Linked DNA regions of Caenorhabditis elegans. The protein of the gene in region 1 interacts with the protein of each later gene in a biochemical or structural test. Each region holds a gene or a part of one and is shown in the gene's direction. Other genes may lie near its edges.

The links.
Region 2: the proteins of wsp-1 (region 1) and arx-1 form a complex in vitro, tested with the Caenorhabditis elegans proteins (one study listed by BioGRID).
Region 3: the proteins of wsp-1 (region 1) and arx-6 form a complex in vitro, tested with the Caenorhabditis elegans proteins (one study listed by BioGRID).
Region 4: the proteins of wsp-1 (region 1) and arx-2 form a complex in vitro, tested with the Caenorhabditis elegans proteins (one study listed by BioGRID).

The regions. Positions count from the first base shown.
Region 1 is NC_003282.8:8,188,373-8,195,065, reverse strand, and holds wsp-1 (CRIB domain-containing protein), read left to right. Parts: upstream 1-1,870; 5' UTR 1,871-1,913; coding exon 1,914-2,973; intron 2,974-3,548; coding exon 3,549-3,695; intron 3,696-3,932; coding exon 3,933-4,041; intron 4,042-4,089; coding exon 4,090-4,359; intron 4,360-4,812; coding exon 4,813-5,008; intron 5,009-5,056; coding exon 5,057-5,320; intron 5,321-5,365; coding exon 5,366-5,488; intron 5,489-5,543; coding exon 5,544-5,720; 3' UTR 5,721-6,162; downstream 6,163-6,693. Other genes in the region: pct-1 (Cyclin-dependent kinase 17), read right to left, coding at 6,631-6,693.
Region 2 is NC_003279.8:2,890,689-2,895,305, reverse strand, and holds the start of arx-1 (Actin-related protein 3), read left to right. Parts: upstream 1-1,587; 5' UTR 1,588-1,592; coding exon 1,593-1,695; intron 1,696-1,749; coding exon 1,750-1,892; intron 1,893-2,562; coding exon 2,563-2,673; intron 2,674-3,838; coding exon 3,839-4,000; intron 4,001-4,044; coding exon of another isoform or gene 4,045-4,617. Other genes in the region: Y71F9AL.6 (Protein PBN1), read right to left, coding at 4,045-4,617. UniProt on the Caenorhabditis elegans protein: Functions as ATP-binding component of the Arp2/3 complex which is involved in regulation of actin polymerization and together with an activating nucleation-promoting factor (NPF) mediates the formation of branched actin networks.
Region 3 is NC_003281.10:4,876,945-4,880,143, forward strand, and holds arx-6 (putative actin-related protein 2/3 complex subunit 4), read left to right. Parts: upstream 1-1,713; 5' UTR 1,714-1,718; coding exon 1,719-1,829; intron 1,830-1,969; coding exon 1,970-2,189; intron 2,190-2,234; coding exon 2,235-2,335; intron 2,336-2,380; coding exon 2,381-2,458; 3' UTR 2,459-2,699; downstream 2,700-3,199. Other genes in the region: Protein tost-1, read right to left, coding at 773-952, 1,068-1,177, 1,228-1,366; C35D10.1 (ER membrane protein complex subunit 7 homolog), read left to right, coding at 2,803-2,907, 3,130-3,199. UniProt on the Caenorhabditis elegans protein: Functions as actin-binding component of the Arp2/3 complex which is involved in regulation of actin polymerization and together with an activating nucleation-promoting factor (NPF) mediates the formation of branched actin networks.
Region 4 is NC_003283.11:10,334,963-10,340,083, reverse strand, and holds arx-2 (Actin-related protein 2), read left to right. Parts: upstream 1-1,728; 5' UTR 1,729-1,733; coding exon 1,734-1,781; intron 1,782-1,833; coding exon 1,834-1,944; intron 1,945-1,987; coding exon 1,988-2,251; intron 2,252-2,297; coding exon 2,298-2,459; intron 2,460-2,556; coding exon 2,557-2,845; intron 2,846-2,894; coding exon 2,895-3,034; intron 3,035-4,134; coding exon 4,135-4,308; 3' UTR 4,309-4,621; downstream 4,622-5,121. Other genes in the region: K07C5.2 (NADP-dependent oxidoreductase domain-containing protein), read right to left, coding at 30-148, 197-327, 378-581.

The DNA.
Region 1 (6,693 bases):
CGGAAAAAAAAGTTGAAATTGAAACTTATTAAAACGTACCTGATATCTCGGAATGGTCTTACTGTAGTCTACTGTATTCCTAACTTACAATACGATATGTCATTATGTGTCACTTGATTCGAAGTTATATTGCTTACAATCTATAAAATTCTATTTGAAAAAATAGAAATTTGTTCTGACCTATCATGAATCTCAGTTTTGTGTTCCTCTAAAGCATGAGCCACTTTCAATCGACGCATGTGAAAAGCGGGCCACTTGAAAGAGCAAGGAGTAGGACAAGACGAGTACAGGATTCAATGGAGATCTACGTGATCTTACCCGTGCCTTGTGCTCTACAATGTTCAATCTGAACAAAGAACGAGCACTGGTTCAATTATAAGGTTTTCATACTTTTTATTTTCTTCTCTTTTTTACAATAGTGCTTCAAGTCTCCATCTCTTCTTCTGCAGCAATCCTATGCGGTTGTATTATGTTCATGCATTAATTTTTGAGAAGTCGACACTTGAGAGGAAGTTATAATTAGGTTTTCGTATATAGTTTTGTATTTGGCGCAGGTTATTTTTGAAACATAGTATATCTTTAAAATCTGTTAACAGAACACAAGCAGATGTGAAAAAAGTGTAGAAATTATTTAATAATAAGTGAAACTGGCTGTTCCTTCCGTTTTCCGAATGTCATTATTGACGTCTAGAGGTGTAGCTGTTCCTACGTGTTGTTGTTAGCGGGTGTGACAGTAGTCAAACGATGATTGAATAATTTTTGTGTTGAAGTACACGCTTTCAAACAAAAAAGTAAAATCTTAGTTTTTTCAGTCTTACCGCTGTTTTAAATTTGAAGGATCACCCTTAAGAACGGTGTCTCGTTTACTATAAAAGTACTGTAAACTCAAGAAAAAAATTACGATACTTCTTACAAAGTATTTCTGGTAGCCACACATTGACACCTAAGTCACAAACTAATAGAAACATTATCTTATTATTTCTCAGTTTTTTAATGTTTAACTATATTGAGACTCTCTCCGTTAGAGGTTCAGGGCAGCACATACACACATACACATACTCATCGGTGTTGACTCCGCCTAACTCTCGTGAGAAGAGAAGTGCTTCAGTTCACCTCCCCACAGTTTTCGCCCCATCATTTCGGTCACTTTTACTATTCATTTCTTACATGGAAAATTTTTGGAATATGTAAAAAATATCATTTTTTGAATAGAAATAGATAGTTGTTAGGAATTCAATTAATATTTACATCTGTTTCCTCTGTCAATATGCACATCTCACTGCCGCCAAACTGTGGTAGTGTGTTGTGTAATTTGATTCCGAATCGAAACGATTGGGCGAGAGAGAAAATTAGAGGGAGAGAAGCCGAACGGTGTGAAGAGGCGAAACGGTATACAATAATGATGTGTATTATGACGGTTTTCATTTCGTTCTGTTTCTATGATTCTCTGAATATCCGTTCGAATCACTAAGTGCTTGTACGCCAATCAGAAAGTCATGGCAATTTAAAAGATTTAGAAATGCAAACGTTTTTTTTTCCAAATTCACTTTTCATCAGACTTCAGCAAGATTTTTTGAAGAATAGGATGTTACAAATTATGCTTGCGTAAATATGCAACATTTTTTGGAATGCCCATTTTCGAAGTCAACTAGAGGTATAATTTGGAACCCTTATATACATCTCTCCTTTCAATTGTTTCACACATCACTCGGATATCTCAAGTGAATTTGTTCCATTCCTTCATTTTATGACCTGAAAATTCCGATTCTCACAGCTTTCGATTCCATAAACGTCACCTTTCGACATTTCCCATATACTCTTTTTTCTCTCGCTTTCATCTCCATAATTTGCGACGATCTTTTTCGCCTTCTTTCAGAAGTATCAGAAGTAGTAGCCATTCGAAGAATAATAACATGTGGATGGTGGTAAGCGAGGATCCGGCCGGCCGCCTCCGCTATCAGTACCACAACCTGCCGGTCGCTCAATCGTTTCCTCCTCCTTCCCACCCTCCGCCACCGTCTGCGACAACCAATCCGTCGTCCAATAAACCGTCAACCGTTTCGTCGGCGGCTCAAATTTATTCGTCCTTTCCATCCTCCACTTCCTCTTCCGGTACTGGCGGTCATCTTCACCATAACCATATGCAACGTTTTGCACGTGGAGGATGCTCTAGCTTCCCTGATTCTATGGGATCCTCACCTCGTACTACCCATCGGAGTCATACTCTACCAAATGGAGGATATTATGAAATGGAACAATATGACAATGTAAATGATTATTCGACTTATGGAGGTCCTGATTCCACGTCAAGCTCAACAAGCTCATCTGCAGAATACCAAGATCCAGTATATTCAACAAGGTATGGAGGATCCACAGGTACATATGCAAGGCGTCAGAACTATGCAAGATGTTATGTTCCAATATCTGCTGATGCATTCTATTACTATCACAATCAACAAAAGCAACTACAACAGCAACATCATCAGCAGCAACAACAGCAGCTAGCATTCCGACCTCGTCATCGATCATCACATCATCATCAAGAACCTCGTCGACATAGAGCTCCGAGTCCTGATCCAGACTATTCACCCCCACTTTCTCGAAATAAGGTACGATTTCATATCCCAGAAGAACCAGTATCTCGTGGTGACTATGTGAGTTCTCGACACGTATTCAATACGGATGACTTCGGTGACGAAGACGACGATTATGAATCAGTATCGATGAATCCTGATCCTGCACCTCATTCTGATTCCGTATTAGTTCATCGATCAAATGGTCAAGTATCTGTTATGGTCACAAAGAAAGAAGAACCTATCTACTGTTCTGGAGGAAGTGATAGTAGTACAGAGAGTAGCAGTGCAACACCATCATCTGTAGAAGCAGATACTCCACCACCAATTCCATCTCATCCACCTGCAAGGCATCGATTAGTGAAGAAAAGTTCTAGTTCGACATCAATTTCGCTTAATGGTTTGTTTTACAGACTTTAAATATTCTGATGTCTGAATCTTCACCTCATCATTTTTACTCTTCTACAATAGTTTCTAAAACCTTTTAAAATCTCCCAAAAATTACACAGCTTGTGAAGCTTGAAAATTTAAAAACGAATTTAGTTTTTCGAAACTTCTAAAAGTATAGGAAGTGTCAACAAGTTGAACTCATGATGTGTATTTGCACTTTATCATAATATTTTTGTTTACTTGATCACTATCTTTCCATATTATCGTTTTTTCTTTGAGTTGATCAATTTGATAGACAGAATCTGGTTCTATAAGAGTTTTTCACACAAATTTGGAAAGCAAACATCCAACCCAGGATGGCGAGAAATTCGGACCGATTATTTGTGTTCATGTCATGTTATGAGCACCGCCGACCGAGTACTTGATCGGCTTCAAGCGCTCAGAGCACATGAACATCATTGTTGAGCAGAAATGCTGGAGAATAGAGAAAGATGATTTTTAACTGATTGGGTGATCGAATTGAAATGAAAAAGAACAGAGCACTTGACAGTGAGAACTTCTATATTTAATAATTTATTATTTCAGGAATCGGATCCACTCCAACACGACAATTCGAAATCACACAGGCTTATGGAGGAACAATTCGAGGACCTCCAATGGCAATTGGCGGAGGTCAAGGGATAACACAAATGGGAACTATGGCTGCTGCACCACAATCACATACACATACAGGTGAATATTTTTTTGGAAATTGAAAAATGATGTTCTCGTAGTCAGTAATTGAATTTCTGAATAAAATTACGTAAACTTAAAAAAAATCACATTTTATATCTCATTTCTTATGCATACTTTGCAAAATTTGCTCATATTTTAATGATTAATAAATTGAAAAGATTGTTACATAAATTTGGTGAGAAATCTCTTCAAAAAATAACATTAATTTTAATTAAATATTTTCAATATTTACAGATGGAAATGCTAGCAGTAGTGGATCATGGTTCCGGAAAGATAAAAACAAAAAGAAGGATAAAAAATCGAAAATTAAGAAAGAGGATATTTCTAATCCAACAAACTTTCAGTGAGATTTATTCCGTTTTAATGGTTTAAATTAAACTAAATATTTCAGACATAAAGCTCATGTTGGATGGAATCAGGATAGTGGATTCTCGAATACAGTTTACGACGATGATATGGATGAAGCTACTAAAAATATTCTAAAGGCTGCTGGATTGGAAAGCAATAATCTGAATGAGGATGATAAGAAATTCGTGAAAAAATTCATTGCCAAGAACTATGATAAATATGTATCTGTTGGAAGTTTGGATCCATCACAAATCTCATCACCTCTTCCACCACCAATTCAGCAACATCCACAGATGAATCAGTCATGGAATCAGTTAGTTTTTTTGTTTTCATTTCGGAAAAAAATAACTCCAAACCAGAAAAAATAAATTTAATTATGGTCCGACATCTACTGGGTTTCGCCCCTGTGAAGATACATGCATATGCGCTGTGTGAGTCGAAACCCGGTAGATGTCGGACCATGAAAAAGAGTAATGGCAACGCAATCCCAATTATTCTCCCCCGAAATGCTTTCGATGTAGTTTTTTTTCCGCAAACTTACAAAAAAAGTTAAAAGTAATATGTTTCTGTTACAGTTAACCCTTGAATATATTTTACGACTACTGTTTTTTGTAGCTGAGAACCAGAAATATTATGAAATATTTAATATAAATACTAGAAATATTAGAAATGAAATTAGTGTTGCATTTGGTGAGGGCGTATTTCAGCCATATTAGAAATACGATAACAAAAAAGTTTTATTTTTAAATGAAAAAAAAATTTTCAGAACACCAGTGCGTCAATACAAACCATCATTCCCATCATCTGCTCCGATTGGAAGCGGTGCTTCATCATATTCCACACCTGCCGCTCCTCCACCTCCAACACGTGTCGAATCTCATGGATTGGCTCCAGCTCGTCCACCTCCTCCACCACCGTCATCTGGTACCCGTGGAATTGCACCATCAAGACCTTTACCTCAAGTAAGTAACCGGAGAGTGATTTTCTGAAAAAAATTAATTTATATTCAGGCGCCCAACTATGGAACCCCAGAGAATCGACCACATGCGGTTCCACCACCTCCACCCCCTCCACCACCACAATCATTTGGAATGGCTCCGATATCATCCGCAGCTCCTCCACCACCACCTCCTCCACCACCGATGGGATTGCCAGCAGTAGGAGCAGGAGCTCCACCCCCTCCACCTCCACCACCACCTTCAGGAGCCGGAGGACCTGCATCGGTGCTCGCAAAACTACCACCTGCTCAGGATGGAAGATCGAATTTGCTAGCGGTTAGTATACTTTTAAAAATGTTCACTATTGAATTTTGTATTCAGGAAATCCAAGCTGGAAAACAACTTCGATCCGTTCAACAAACTGCAGATTCACCAAAATCGGCTGGTGGTGATGCTCGTGGAGATGTGATGGCCCAAATTCGACAAGGAGCACAATTAAAACATGTAAGACAATTTTTAACCGAAAATTACTATTGATTCCAATTTTTTTAAACTTTAGGTGGATGCAGCTGCTGAGCAAGAACGTCGAAAGAGTACGACTTCTGGAGCCGCTGGAATGGGAGGATTGGCTGGAGCACTAGCAAAGGCTCTTGAGGAACGTCGAATGAATATGGGAATAGATGATACTAGTGATGATGATGACGATGAAGATGACAAAAATGAATGGTCAGATTAGACTAAATTATCTCATTAAACTTGTTTTCCTTCCATTTTTCGTTTCCTTTTTCTGTGCAAATCCCGTGTGAAACAGGGTAATTTTAGTCCCTCAAGTACAATTCTTGATTTGAAAAATTACAGAATCGTCAATTTCCAAGATAAATTATCATACATTTTGAAAGTGACGAATTTGTAAAACTTGTGCATTTAGTTTTTTTTTTTCTCCAAATCAGTGCCTATTCCGTGTGAATTTCTCTTCGTAAGCCCCCTTCCACACACCCGAAATACCAACAAACTTTTAAAACTCAACCAGTCTTCTTGTTTTTCTCCCGTAGATTTTTCTGTGATGCTCCCCTCTCATCCAAAACCATTGTCCCTTTTTAGACTTACAGCAGAAACGCTCATAATTTTTTTGCATATTATCATTTTTCTGGGTATCCACATAAATAATTTTTGTTTCCAATTCGATGAGAAGTAGAAGCTTTCCGGGTAGAGCTTGTTTATTCACAGGTGTACAATAAGAATAACGGCTAAAATAAATAGCAAAAAAAATGGTTCTGTGTGCTTTTTGGGAACAAATTGAGATTATGAGATGATTTTTTGTAGATTTTTGTGTGATTTATGAACAGAAAATGTAAATTTGAAAATCGCTATTACTGGTTACGGGAAACAACGGGAAAAATTCTAAGAAGAATGATGGAGTCTCGGGATATGAAGAGAAAATATTACACAATAAATTATTAGGAAACATGTTTCATAAACATCTTGATCTATAAGTGACCGCATTGGAAGGACATTTTGGTTGGGAGGAAACGAATCGGAATTGGTTGACAAGAACCCGTAAAAGTGCAACACAATCTGAGATGAAATGGGGAAAAAAGAAACAAATTTAATTCTAAATATGTTTTTTTTTGTTGAGAAAATTATTTCTAAGTGTGATGACTCGAATGCATTCGATATTTATCTTTTACAAGAGTTCCACGATGATGACG
Region 2 (4,617 bases), on another chromosome or scaffold:
GTAAGAAAATGTTCTCTAAATCAGTAATTTACATGGAGAAATTTGCTCGAAAAAATTCAAAAAAAATACAGTAAGAAAATTGTCGTAAAGTCTAGGGTTTTGGTATTGCGGACTACGACAAAATGCACACAAACCATTTTGGCACCGGAAAAAGGCAAAAGCCAGGATTTTATCGCGTTTTGGCTCATTTTTCTTGCAAATTTCCATGGAATTCAGTTAACATATACCTAATTATTCAGTTATTTCGAATTAATCAATAATTTTCAGTGAATTTCGCAATTTCTAAGTGGTCCAATGATGTCTGTCCACATATTTCCTTGAAAACTGATTGTTTTATCGGAATTTATTGATTTAAAATAATATATATAATAAAATCTGAATTTTAGAATCATTTTTGACGTGGAAAAGACCCGAAAAATCCAAAAATCACGAATAAACTGAACAATTAAGGTATTAATTTTTGATCCCCCACCCCCAGTTTCTCAGTTTCTCAGCAAAGGATTAAAACAATTGTTCTTCTTCTTTTCCCCCTACAAGAATTTCCTGTGAATTTCAATCGTAAAAATATCGATTTTCTGTTTATTCTTTGGATGAGTCACCGCACTCGCCGATTGTTTAACTAGTGCAGTTCGGCAGTTTTACGTTATTTTTTCACGATTTTTTGGATTCTGATCCTCTAGGTGACTTGAAAATACCGAATTTCATATCGTAATATGACAGAAAAATTTATGGCGGTAAAAAAATGCGGAAAAATTTTCTAATTTTAACGGAAAACTCCAAAAAGCCGTTGGAAAATGATTTTTATTTGATATTGGCATATTTAAATAATTTTTATCCTGTTTTTTAGTGGATTTGGATATTTTAACCCGATAGTTATGTATAACGGCTTAAAAATTGCCAAAATCAGCGAAAAAACGCGAGAAAAATCACTTAAATATGGAAAATAGAACAATAATCAAATAAACCCGATTATCCAAGCCAAAACTGAGTTTTTTTTTTCGCATTTTTGAACTTCAAAATTTCGAAAAAATGGGCTATTTTTAACGAAAATCCCCAATTTTGCAATTTTTTCGTGTCACAGCCGTCGGAAATTGATTTTTATTTGATTTTTGACACATTTGAGTGATTTTATCCTTTTTTTTTCGTGGATTTAGGTACTTTTAGCCGATAGTTACGTATTGCTAAAATACTGGCTTAATAAGTAGCTAAATCGACGAAAAAATATGTTTTAAAAAACCAAAAATGGCAAAATTTTACGATTTTTGCTAAATCTTTTTTTTTTTTGAAATTTTAAATCGTCATAAAATTATTTAGCTAAATTTTTGTTAAACATTTCAGCGAAAAACTCCATTTTTGCCAATTTTTTGTGTCACAGCGGTTGAAAATTGCGTTAATTTAGGTATATTTGAAGCCAAAAAAGGAACAAAATTAATTTATTTGCAAAATTATCAATTTCCGGCTTAAAAACGCTCCAAGATTGGAGATTTCAGCGGAAATTAGCCCATTTTTTCGAATTTCTAAACCGCTAGACTGAAATTCCGTCTTTTTCTCCCATTTAAAACAAAAAAAATCCCAAATTTTTTGCAGCAAGCATGTCGGCCCATCAACTACCGGCATGTGTGATCGACAATGGAACGGGTTATACGAAGCTCGGATATGCTGGGAACACGGAACCTCAGTTTATTATTCCATCTGGTTAGATTTATTGATTTTCAGCCTATTTTTCATAAAATCCAGTGAATTTTCCAGCAATTGCCGTGAAGGACAAGGTGGCGAGCTCGAATTCGCAGGCGATGCGCTGGAATAACCGAGTCGGAGCCGGGATAGACGATCTTGATTTCTTTATTGGAGATGAAGCTTTGTCGCCGGCCGCTACGAATTATACTGTCAAAGTTCGTAGTTAATAGACCATATTTATGCTCCTGATGTCAAATATCAATGTGAAATTTTTTTTTTTAATTCCCAGATTTTATATAATTTTTTAAAATCCAAAAATCCTAATTTTAAATTTAAACGACAAAATTTTGCATGATAACCGTGCCGCAGGTGTGGATTTACGAGATTAATATTTTTAATTCATTTTTATTTAATTTTCACACCGATTTTCCCGTTTTTTCGTTGTTATACATTGAAATTCTTGGGATTTTCATAAATTTATTCATAAATTTACTTTTTATTAATGAAAACAAATTAAATTACAAGAAATATCGAACTTTTGCTGAAAAAATCGAATATTTCACGTATTTTTGTTGTTTTCATTAATAAAAAGTCATAAATTAATGGAAATCATGATAATTTTAATGTAAAACAAGGAAAAATCGGGAAAATCGGTGTGAAAATTAAATAAAAATGAATGAAAAATATTAGTCTCGTAAATCCACACATGCGGCACGGTTATCATGCAAAATTTGTCGTTTCTGAATTTAACATTTTGGACTTTTGGATTAAAAAAAATATAATTTTTTATAAAATCGGGAATTTTATTTTTTGAATTTTTCACATTGATATTAGGTATCAGGAGCATATGGAAAAAATGTTTAAAATTAAAATTAAATTTTTTAGTATCCAATTCGGCATGGAATCGTCGAAGACTGGGATCTTATGGAACGATACTGGGAGCAGTGCATTTTCAAATACTTGAGAGCCGAGCCAGAGGATCATTTCTTCCTTTTGGTACGGGAGAGAAGCAGAAAATTCGGGAAAAAATGCTCTGGAACAATATTTTGGCCACTTTTAAAAGAAAAGGGGGTCGAAAATCCGTTTTTTTAATAGAAAATATCCTGTAAAATGGATGTAAATCGGTGAAAAGCTATATATTACAGAAAAAACACGTGAAAAGTGATAAATTTCGATGAAAAAAGCTTAAAAATCACGAAATTTTGCAATTTTTGACTCTAAAATTACGGTATCCGGTCTTGACAGGACAATTTTTTTGGAAATAAAGCATGTGATACCAATTTAAAAAATACGTAAAAATTTTGAAAAAAACGGGAGAAAAATCAAGGAATTTCCCCCGAAAACTCCGGTATTTTTAAGCTTTATTAATTAAAATTAATTAAATGAAAAATCTACATTTTTTCAAAAAAATAGCAAAAAAAATTTTTTTTCGTATTAAAATCCTAATTTTATAGGAAAAGCTGTTTTTTTGAAGATATGGCTTTAATTTTCTATTTAAAAAATCGTTTTTTTTTTCTGGAAATTTACAAAATTTTGTTTCTAATTTTTTTTAAAGTAAGGGTCCCGCCACGATCTACCTGAGCTTCAACTTTCAGGCTTAAAGTTGGTGTAGTCGAATTTTTTTTTTGCTTTATTAGAATCAAAATTGTCTAAAAACACCGAATTTCATAATGAAACTTCTTGAAAAAAAACAGTTATGACGGTTCAAAAAATCGGCTAAAATTAGTTAAAATTTGAAATTTGGCCTTTTGAAATTACCGTCAAATTTTAGATATATAAGTTTATTATCGTGCGTTTTCAACTCGATTTAGGTATTTTAAAGTCGGTGGACTTGGAGATTTGGTAATAAAAATTTAAAAATCTCCAAGTCCACCGGCTTTAAAATACCTAAATCGAGTTGAAAACGCACAATAATCAACTTATATATCTAAAATTTGACGGTAATTTCAAAAGGCCAAATTTCAAATTTTAACTGTTTTAGGCCATTTTTTTGGAGCCGCCATAACTTTTTTTTTGAGAAGTTTTCAATTCATTATGAAATTCGGTGTTTTCAGACAATTTTTGAGTCTAATAAAGCAATTTTTTTTTTAAAAATCGACTACACCACCTTTAAATAGCGAATATTAGGCAGTTTTCCACGAAAAAATTTGAAAATTTCCAGACGGAACCACCACTCAACACTCCGGAAAACCGAGAATATACTGCTGAAATTATGTTCGAGTCGTTCAACGTGCCAGGCTTGTACATAGCCGTTCAGGCCGTCCTAGCGTTGACTGCCAGCTGGAATTCCAGAGAAGCCAACGAGCGAAGCTTGACTGGATTGGTAGGAAATTTTTTCGCTTTTGAGAAAAAAAAATTTTTATTATTTTATTTGTCACTTATTAAATAGCCAAAAATGCAAATTAATACCAGCAAAAACATGAAAAATATAATGAAAAACGACAATTTACACATTCCCGACAATGATGGATACTTGTTCCCGTCTACTTCGGCTTCTCCTGCAACTGCAAAAAAATCGAATTGCTCCTCACCATCAAGCGCTCCGAATCCCAAAATATCCTCATCGAAACTCGAAACCTCGCGGAGCAACACAGGCAGCTCTTGCAGCCAGAAACTTCCAGTTTTCCGTGGATCTTGCTCCAAATGCGTCAGAAATAGATGCCAAATTTGGCGGAATCTCTCCTTTTCGGCTTGTCGGCGGTTCGCATTTTCTAGCTGCTCATGATCTTCGGCTTCAGCGTGGAAAGCGGTTCTGAGTGCTTCTTCGTCGATTTTCGGGATGTACGCAGAAATTGCCATGTCGAGTAGAGAGTGTGGGAGACTGAGAGGGACAGGGAGAGATGACGTGGATTCTGGTGTACCGACGACGATCGATAATGTTTTCGAGGTACCTGTGTACCATCTGCCGTCTCTGCTAGCAATTGCATAACACGCAAGAAA
Region 3 (3,199 bases), on another chromosome or scaffold:
AAAATGCACATATTTCAGAACAGTCTTTTCCCTAGGAAATTTCAAATTTTATCTGATGTTCAGATCGTAGCACATGCTCTTTTGATCGGTTATTATTCATTCGGGGATTGACTGAGGATCTTTAGATTCTTTCTCACTTTCAGGTAGACTTCCTCGCGGCTTCGGCTCCGGTAGTAGTAGTTTACATATCAGGATTTTCAACACTTTTGTATTCCGACACTATTCCACTGGAAAATTCACTTATTGTGCATTTTTGGCAAAATTCTACAAGTTTCAAGGGAGACGCGCTTATACAAAAGGGTCTCGCCGCGGGAATCGTATTTATTAAAGATACTTGGTTTAAATGTCTTCTTACGTTAACAGAAGATTATTTTTAATATGTTTTTCTCGCGGCGAGACCCCTACACACATATGCTCTGTCCTTTGAACTTAAATGTTACTCTTTTCGTTTCAATACCAAATGCGCAATAAATCCCGCATTGAAGCATAGCGTTCTCCCATTACTTCTGCTCCCATTTCAGTTATTTTTTATGCCAATCTTGAAATTATTGCGTGCTCAAACGAAAATCAAACAAGCACTTACTTTGAACGATTTACTTATCGAAGGAATACCACAGAAAATCGTAGGATAAGATTATGAAAATTTGCACTGAAGTTCATGGGTGTGGGAAAACGAGGGAAATTATAACACTTAAAGAAGAAAAGGGCTGCTCAAAAATTGTGAGAAAAATACATAAATTTTGGAAAATGAATTTTGCAATTTATGGAAAAATTAAACGGATTGAAGAATGCTTCTGGTGATTTCTTGAATGTAGATATCCGAGCTGGTGAGCTTCTTCTCATCAGTAGAGGACGGCTTCAAAACAGCTTTCTTGGTCGGTGCATTCTCCTTGTCCTCCTCTTCGAAAACTTTCTCCGGTGAATTGACAATTGGATTTTTTGCGAGATAGTTCTGAAACATAACCAGGTTCTCATAAAATCTCAAAGTTTCATTTTTTAAGGAAAACATTAAGAGTTGTGTTAATATCAGTGCTTTGATTAAAAGTTCGAATAGTCTAAATAATTACCTCCACAAATTCCTTTTTCGAATTCAAGTTCCGGTCGTGAACGACAAAGAAGACATCAGAATCGTTTTTGACAGTCTCTGGCTCAGTGGCTTGAATAGTGTACCCCTTTTCTGGAAGACAACTATGTTATTATGATTCAAAAATGCTTGAAAACATTTACCGAGAACTCCGAAGCGCTCATTCAATGTGATTCGTTTATTTGTCGCAGTTTTGTACTTGTTTTCCAGAATCGACGCCACTTTGTTGCTGTGCTCACGGTCAGCTAAAGGAATAACTTGATATTGGATGGCAGTAGTCATTCTGAAAGGTTTAAATTTTTAAATTTTACTGAAAACGCAAAATATTTTGCAAAATGGGAAAGTGGAATGATTGAAAATCAGAAAATTAATTTTAAAATTGACAATTTTTAAAAGAATGGATGATAAATTTGTCTTCGCGCGCTACTCGAAACAAAAAGTGCAGCGGAGCGTGTTTGCATTACTTTCAAAACGACGCAAATAATGATTCATTTTCGGATTATCGACTCCAATTTTACGATTTTCGCCGGTATTTCATGTTTTATTTTGTTCCATGCAATCTTTTTTCACTTCTAAATAATGTCTCAAACTGTTTCGTCAATAAAAAAATCAATAAGCATGCGCATTGCAGGTAATGAGCGCAACACTCCAACCATATCTGGAGGCCGTGCGTCACACGCTCCAGGCAGCTCTCTGTCTTGAGCAATTCAGTTCGCAGGTGGTCGAGAGACACAACAAACCAGAAGTAAGATTTATAACAGTAAAATGACTTGCAAAGTGTGAAGATTGAATAATTTAAATCAGTCCGCCGCCAATTGCAATAGTTTTTCGCTCAAAAACTATTTAAATGTATTATTCTATTTGTATATTATAATAAAATTGTAGGTGGAAGTTCAAACATCGAAAGAACTGCTCATGACGCCAGTTGTTGTTGCTCGAAACAAACAGGAACGAGTACTCATCGAACCCTCCGTCAATTCTGTCAGAATATCAATCGCCATCAAACAATCCGACGAAATCGAGAAGATTCTGTGCCACAAGTTCACTCGATTCATGTGCCAAAGAGCCGATAACTTCTTTGTGCTCCGTCGCAAGCCACTGCCAGGTCAGAATTAATACTAATATTCAGAGATTAAAGCGATAATTTTAGGTTATGACATCTCGTTCCTCATCACAGCATCTCACACAGAAGCAATGTTCAAGCACAAACTTGTCGACTTTTTGCTTCATTTTATGCAGGAAATTGATAAGGTGAACATTTTAAGTTAATTTTTAAAAAATTCCATAAATTTCCAGGAAATTTCCGAGATGAAGCTGTCTCTCAACGCCCGTGCCCGTGTTTCTGCTGAAGAATTTTTGAAGCGTTTCAATTAATTTTCTCCCCATGATTCCCAATTCATTTTTCTCATTTTCACTCAAATTCCGAAGACTTTAAACTATTATGTGAACACGGTTTTTTGATCAATTTGTGTAAATATCATCTTTATTCTCAATTTTTTCACTTTTTGTTTCTGAAAATGACTCCCCTCCCAAAAATTTCCTGTTTTAGGTCCTATTTTGCCTTTTTGATTATCGATTTTTTTTACCGCACACTGACTTTATGAATTATTTATTCAATTTTTGCAATATGTATGATCTGAAATATCTCGTGAAACATTTACGAGCTTTAATATTTTAAAATGATTATTAAGTTGGAAATTGACAAATCAATTTCAGAAATGAAGTCTATTCTACTTTTATTCTCCCTGATAGTGCTCGGCAGTGCAACAGAAGAAGTGAGCAGAACTGAGCAAACATCGACATTATTCTCCGTCGAAGGCGAGGTTCGTATACCAAAAATGTTTGATTTTTGGATTAAAAATATCGATCATTTTGGCTATATTCATAGAGAAGTCATATTATAAATTAAGACAACGTTTATATGCTTCTGAATACTTTTTCCAGTTCTCACATTTTTTAAAATTTTATCTTCTAGGTTCCTATTCTAATAACAACAAATTCGTTGTAAATTAAATATTTCATAGTCCTCAAAAAAAAAATTTCAGATCGCACTTCCATCTACTCGAAATTGTGCAAAATGGTCCGCAGGTGCTCGTATTCATTTGAACCATGGCC
Region 4 (5,121 bases), on another chromosome or scaffold:
TATATGAAATGACCATGAAACCAACATACCTTTTGCCTTTTCAAGTGTCTGCCAAACAATTTTCCTTCTACTTTTGTTAATTTCGTAGTCATCATCGTTTCCAGTATCACGGTCACGTGGATAGTGAATTAAAAGAAGATCTACATAACTGAAAATAGAAATAATTCTGATGATAACTCAACAAATATTTTCCTACTCGGTTTGCAAAGTTGCAAGGGAATTGGCTAGTTGTTTCTCAGTTTCCTCCACAGTATTTTCATTGAGAGTACGAACTTTAGTAGTGATGAACACATCTTCACGTGTCAAGCCAAATTGTGGTAGATATTTCTAAAATTTTAGAGGTTTGAATAGTTTTTCAGAAATCAGTTTAAATTTACCTTCAGGGAATTACCAAGAAACGTTTCGTTTTTGTAGAGATTGGCTGTGTCAAATTGACGATATCCAGATTTCAGAGCGGCTTCAATAGAGACATCTAAATCTTGTTGAGTTTCAATTCGAGAGATTCCAAGACCAATTTTTGGCATTTCGTATCCATCGGAAAACTTGAATGCACCACCAACAACATTTGTGAAAACACTCATAGTCTGAAAATACATTTAAATGAGATAAAAGAATATAAAAATGGCAAGAAATGAAGAATAGAGGACATTAAATATAAATAAGAGATAGGTAGAGGAGGAGGGGGACAGTTCAACAAACAATGGAAGTTTCATTGAACAATTTTTGAAAGTTAAGATGTGATGTTTGTTGTAATTTACACTATTCAATGGTAATTCATAGACTTTGAACGAAGCGTTCGATCATTGAAACACTCTCTTTGCGAAGTTTGTATTTAGAGTTCAATAAGTTTACTAAACAGAGAAAAATTGAATTAACAGAAGAATGACGTTATATTGTGATCATTTCCAATCACGATAGGAACACTACCATATACACATGACCTATCCTAGTTGTTATGTTGTCTCTTCCCATTTTTCTTAAAATTAACTGAGAAATTAAAATTTTGGATGTGAGGAAGAGCCTTTATTATAAAAAGCCATGTTTCATGTGGAAATAATTCGGTACAATCCATATCGCAACTTATTTATTACAGATGTTGAAAATGTTTTTTTACATAAATATTCAGAAATTTCTACCAAAAACTAATCACACAAGTAAAAAAAATCATAAATATGGTAAACATGTAAATAAAAATAAATGTTATAAATAAAACTAATAAAATAATAAAAAAAACAAAGGTTCATGATTTAGATTTTTTAAATCTGTTTTTACACTACGATACTCTTGCTGCAAATCTGCTCCATCGACAACCAATTCCCTGCGTCTCCACTATAGACAGAACTGTCATGTTTTTATTTCAATAGAATTTCCTTATTTCTTTTCTGTATATTTTAATCTTATAATTGTTTTCGTATTCTATGAAGAACATAAAAATTCTCGCGAAATTGTAGAAACATTTTTCCATCGACTTCCGCGTATTTTGACGGCGATCTCCACTAAATATAGTCAGATTTACTTTCCAGAAACCCTCGTTCATTAAATTAAAATCTAAGTAATGTAAAATATTGCTTAAATGTTCGTACTTTGTTCTATTTTAAGCCAACTAAGACAGTGTCAAAACGAAATTTTTACCGGTTTCATCGATTGGCAAGCAAATTTGCTATTTATTTACTTTTCTTCTCTTTATGACTCATTCGAAACCCGCACAATCGATTTAACAATTTTCAGGCGAAATGGATTCGCAAGGGCGAAAGGTGATTGTCGTTGACAACGGAACAGGTGTAAGTTGCAAAATTTTATCCCATTTTATTTTCAAAAATTCTGTATTTGCAGTTCGTCAAATGCGGGTATGCAGGAACCAATTTCCCAGCTCATATATTCCCTTCAATGGTCGGTCGGCCAATCGTGAGATCGACACAAAGAGTTGGAAATATTGAAATTAAGGTAAAACTTTACACAGAAAGGTCTTATAACTGTTTTCTCACAGGATTTGATGGTTGGCGAGGAGTGCTCTCAGCTTCGTCAAATGCTTGATATCAATTATCCCATGGACAACGGAATTGTTAGAAACTGGGATGATATGGCGCATGTATGGGATCATACTTTTGGACCGGAAAAGTTGGATATCGACCCGAAAGAGTGTAAACTGCTGCTGACAGAACCACCACTCAATCCGAACAGCAATCGTGAGAAAATGTTTCAAGTTATGTTTGAGCAGTATGGATTCAATTCTATCTATGTGGCGGTTCAGGTAATAGTTAATCCTCATGATAAAATCATAATGATTATATTTTCAGGCTGTGCTCACTCTTTATGCTCAAGGTCTTTTGACAGGAGTTGTAGTTGACTCCGGAGATGGTGTTACCCACATCTGTCCTGTTTACGAAGGATTTGCTCTTCATCATTTGACAAGACGATTGGATATTGCAGGAAGAGATATTACCAAGTATCTTATCAAGGTAAGTTTTTAAATGTTACATATTAATTCAATTATTTTCCTGATTGCTATAGTGACAAAATATGGTTTATTAGAAACTAACATATATTTGTTTTCAGCTTCTTCTGCAACGTGGATACAACTTCAATCACTCTGCTGACTTTGAAACTGTTCGCCAAATGAAGGAAAAGCTTTGTTACATTGCATATGATGTTGAGCAAGAAGAACGTTTGGCACTAGAGACTACAGTTCTTTCTCAACAATACACTCTTCCTGATGGTCGTGTGATTCGTCTCGGAGGTGAACGATTCGAAGCTCCAGAAATTCTATTCCAACCACATCTGATTAATGTTGAAAAAGCTGGTCTCTCGGAACTTCTTTTCGGATGTATTCAAGCCAGTGATATAGGTATTTCAAAAATGAAATTGTGCATTTCCATTATAAATCCCTTTTATAGATACTCGCCTTGATTTCTACAAGCATATCGTACTTTCCGGTGGAACCACTATGTATCCAGGATTGCCCAGCCGTCTTGAGAAGGAACTGAAACAGCTGTATTTGGATCGCGTATTGCATGGAAATACTGACGCGTTCCAGGTAACGAATTTCCGAAAATTCGGCCACAAGGATATTGCCGGAATAATGTTGAGACTAGGCAATTGTCAAAATGCCGATCGCTGAGTTTTTCAAAATTCAGCAGTTGTCAAAGTTTCGAATTATCAAAAATAAATTCCAATTACCGAATAGAAAATTGAAAATATTCAGGTCGTTTTGAGTTATATTTCTTCATCAAAAACACATTTACTACAGTAGAAATTGATTTTTTTTGTTAATTTTTATAGTTATTTTTTCTAATAGTTTTGAACCCGGTAATTGCCGAAATTTTTTGTCGCCGAATTTCTAAATTTTCGAAAATTTTTATAACTCGAAAATTTCTGAAAATTTTTTATTTTCGCCCACTATGGCTGTCTTTTTTTTAATCAAAAAAAATCGATTAAAGATTAGTTTCAAAACAGTTGGTAGTAGAATTGAAATTTTTTCCACAAATAATTATCAATCAAAAAGTAAAAAGTTTTTTTGAAAAAAAAAAAACAATTTTTATGTAATGCCAATTTTTGAATGGGAAGTATTACGAAAGCACAAATTTCTGAAAATGCGTATCGCGAAATATATTTTACGCGCAAAATATCTCGTAGCGAACACTACAGTAATCCTTTGTATGACTACTATAGTTCTTGTGTAGATTCAAGAGCTCGATTAGCTGAGTTGAATCATTTATTTATTGATAGAACATTATTAAAGTTAAGAAAACAGATCAAAAAGAAATTCATTTTAAAAATCAAGCTCATTAAACTAGACAATGTTAAAGGATTACTGTAGTTTTCGCTATGAAATATTTTGCGCGTCAAATATGTTGCACTCTACGCATTCCCAGATATTTGTGTTCCTGTAGTAGTTTTACTTTTGGTTATTTGACCATTCCTTTTAAGAATGGCGCTTTTGGTCGTCAATGACGATTTGATGATGTGTTAACTAAATGCATTTGATTTCTTCGTGTGAGGTCTCCTAAAAGAACACTCACTCAACATCTTAGTTTTCCGCCCCATCACCCCAGTGTTTACTTACATCCTTCTTTAGTGGGCGTGGCTACGACCTTGAAAAAATTACCAGCAATGTTCCAATTTATTTATTTTCAGAAATTCAAAATCCGTATAGAAGCCCCACCAAGCCGTAAGCACATGGTTTTCCTTGGAGGAGCTGTTCTTGCAAATCTGATGAAGGATCGTGATCAAGATTTTTGGGTTTCAAAGAAAGAATATGAAGAGGGTGGTATTGCAAGATGTATGGCCAAACTTGGAATCAAAGCTTAAATATTGTGACTTTATTTTCGTGTTAACATGTTTAAAAGTGCTTTATGTTCATTTATCCCCGTTTCTCTGAATTCTCTTAAAATCCCCTACCTGTTAACTAATTTATTCTTTATAGGCATCCTATTCTCCCCCACTCTCATTCAAACGTTTATCTTTCAAACCAACAACCACCTGAATCCATCATTCTCTGTTGTAAATACATTTTCCACTTTGAATTCATTCACTTCTTCAACTTACTTTTGGTTTGAAATTGAATTGCGTCACCTCTTATTCCTTCTTCCATTTTTCCATTAAATGAAACCGAAATCATCCAGCAAAAGGGCATTAGAAAAAGAGACAAACGACGACATTGATGACCCGCATTTGATACACGGATACTCTACCACCTGATAACGGATAATTGTTATCTTCAGGCCCGTGTCCTCCTCTATTTCAACTACTTTCATCCGAAATACTCCTTTATTTGCGACATTCGGATTTTTTCTTTCCAACTCATTTATTAACTGATTCATATAATCACATTTAAATCTTTTCAATTCATTTATTTTAATTGGTTTCTCTTTCTTTCCAAAAGGTCCACATAAATCAGTGGTCGATGAAATCGTCAGAAGCGACCGGCACTTCTAAAATGGTGTCGTTTTAGTGTCCTTTCATCGCCTGACCAACCTATCAAACGGGGAGGTCTCGTCTGTGTTGAAGCCAAATTGGAACTTTTTATAGCTGCTTTACTCTCAGAATAGTTTAAACTTTTTTGTTTATTGAACCGTCGGTGAACCTATGTTTTTTGGATTTCGATTCTCGATCAGTTGTGAA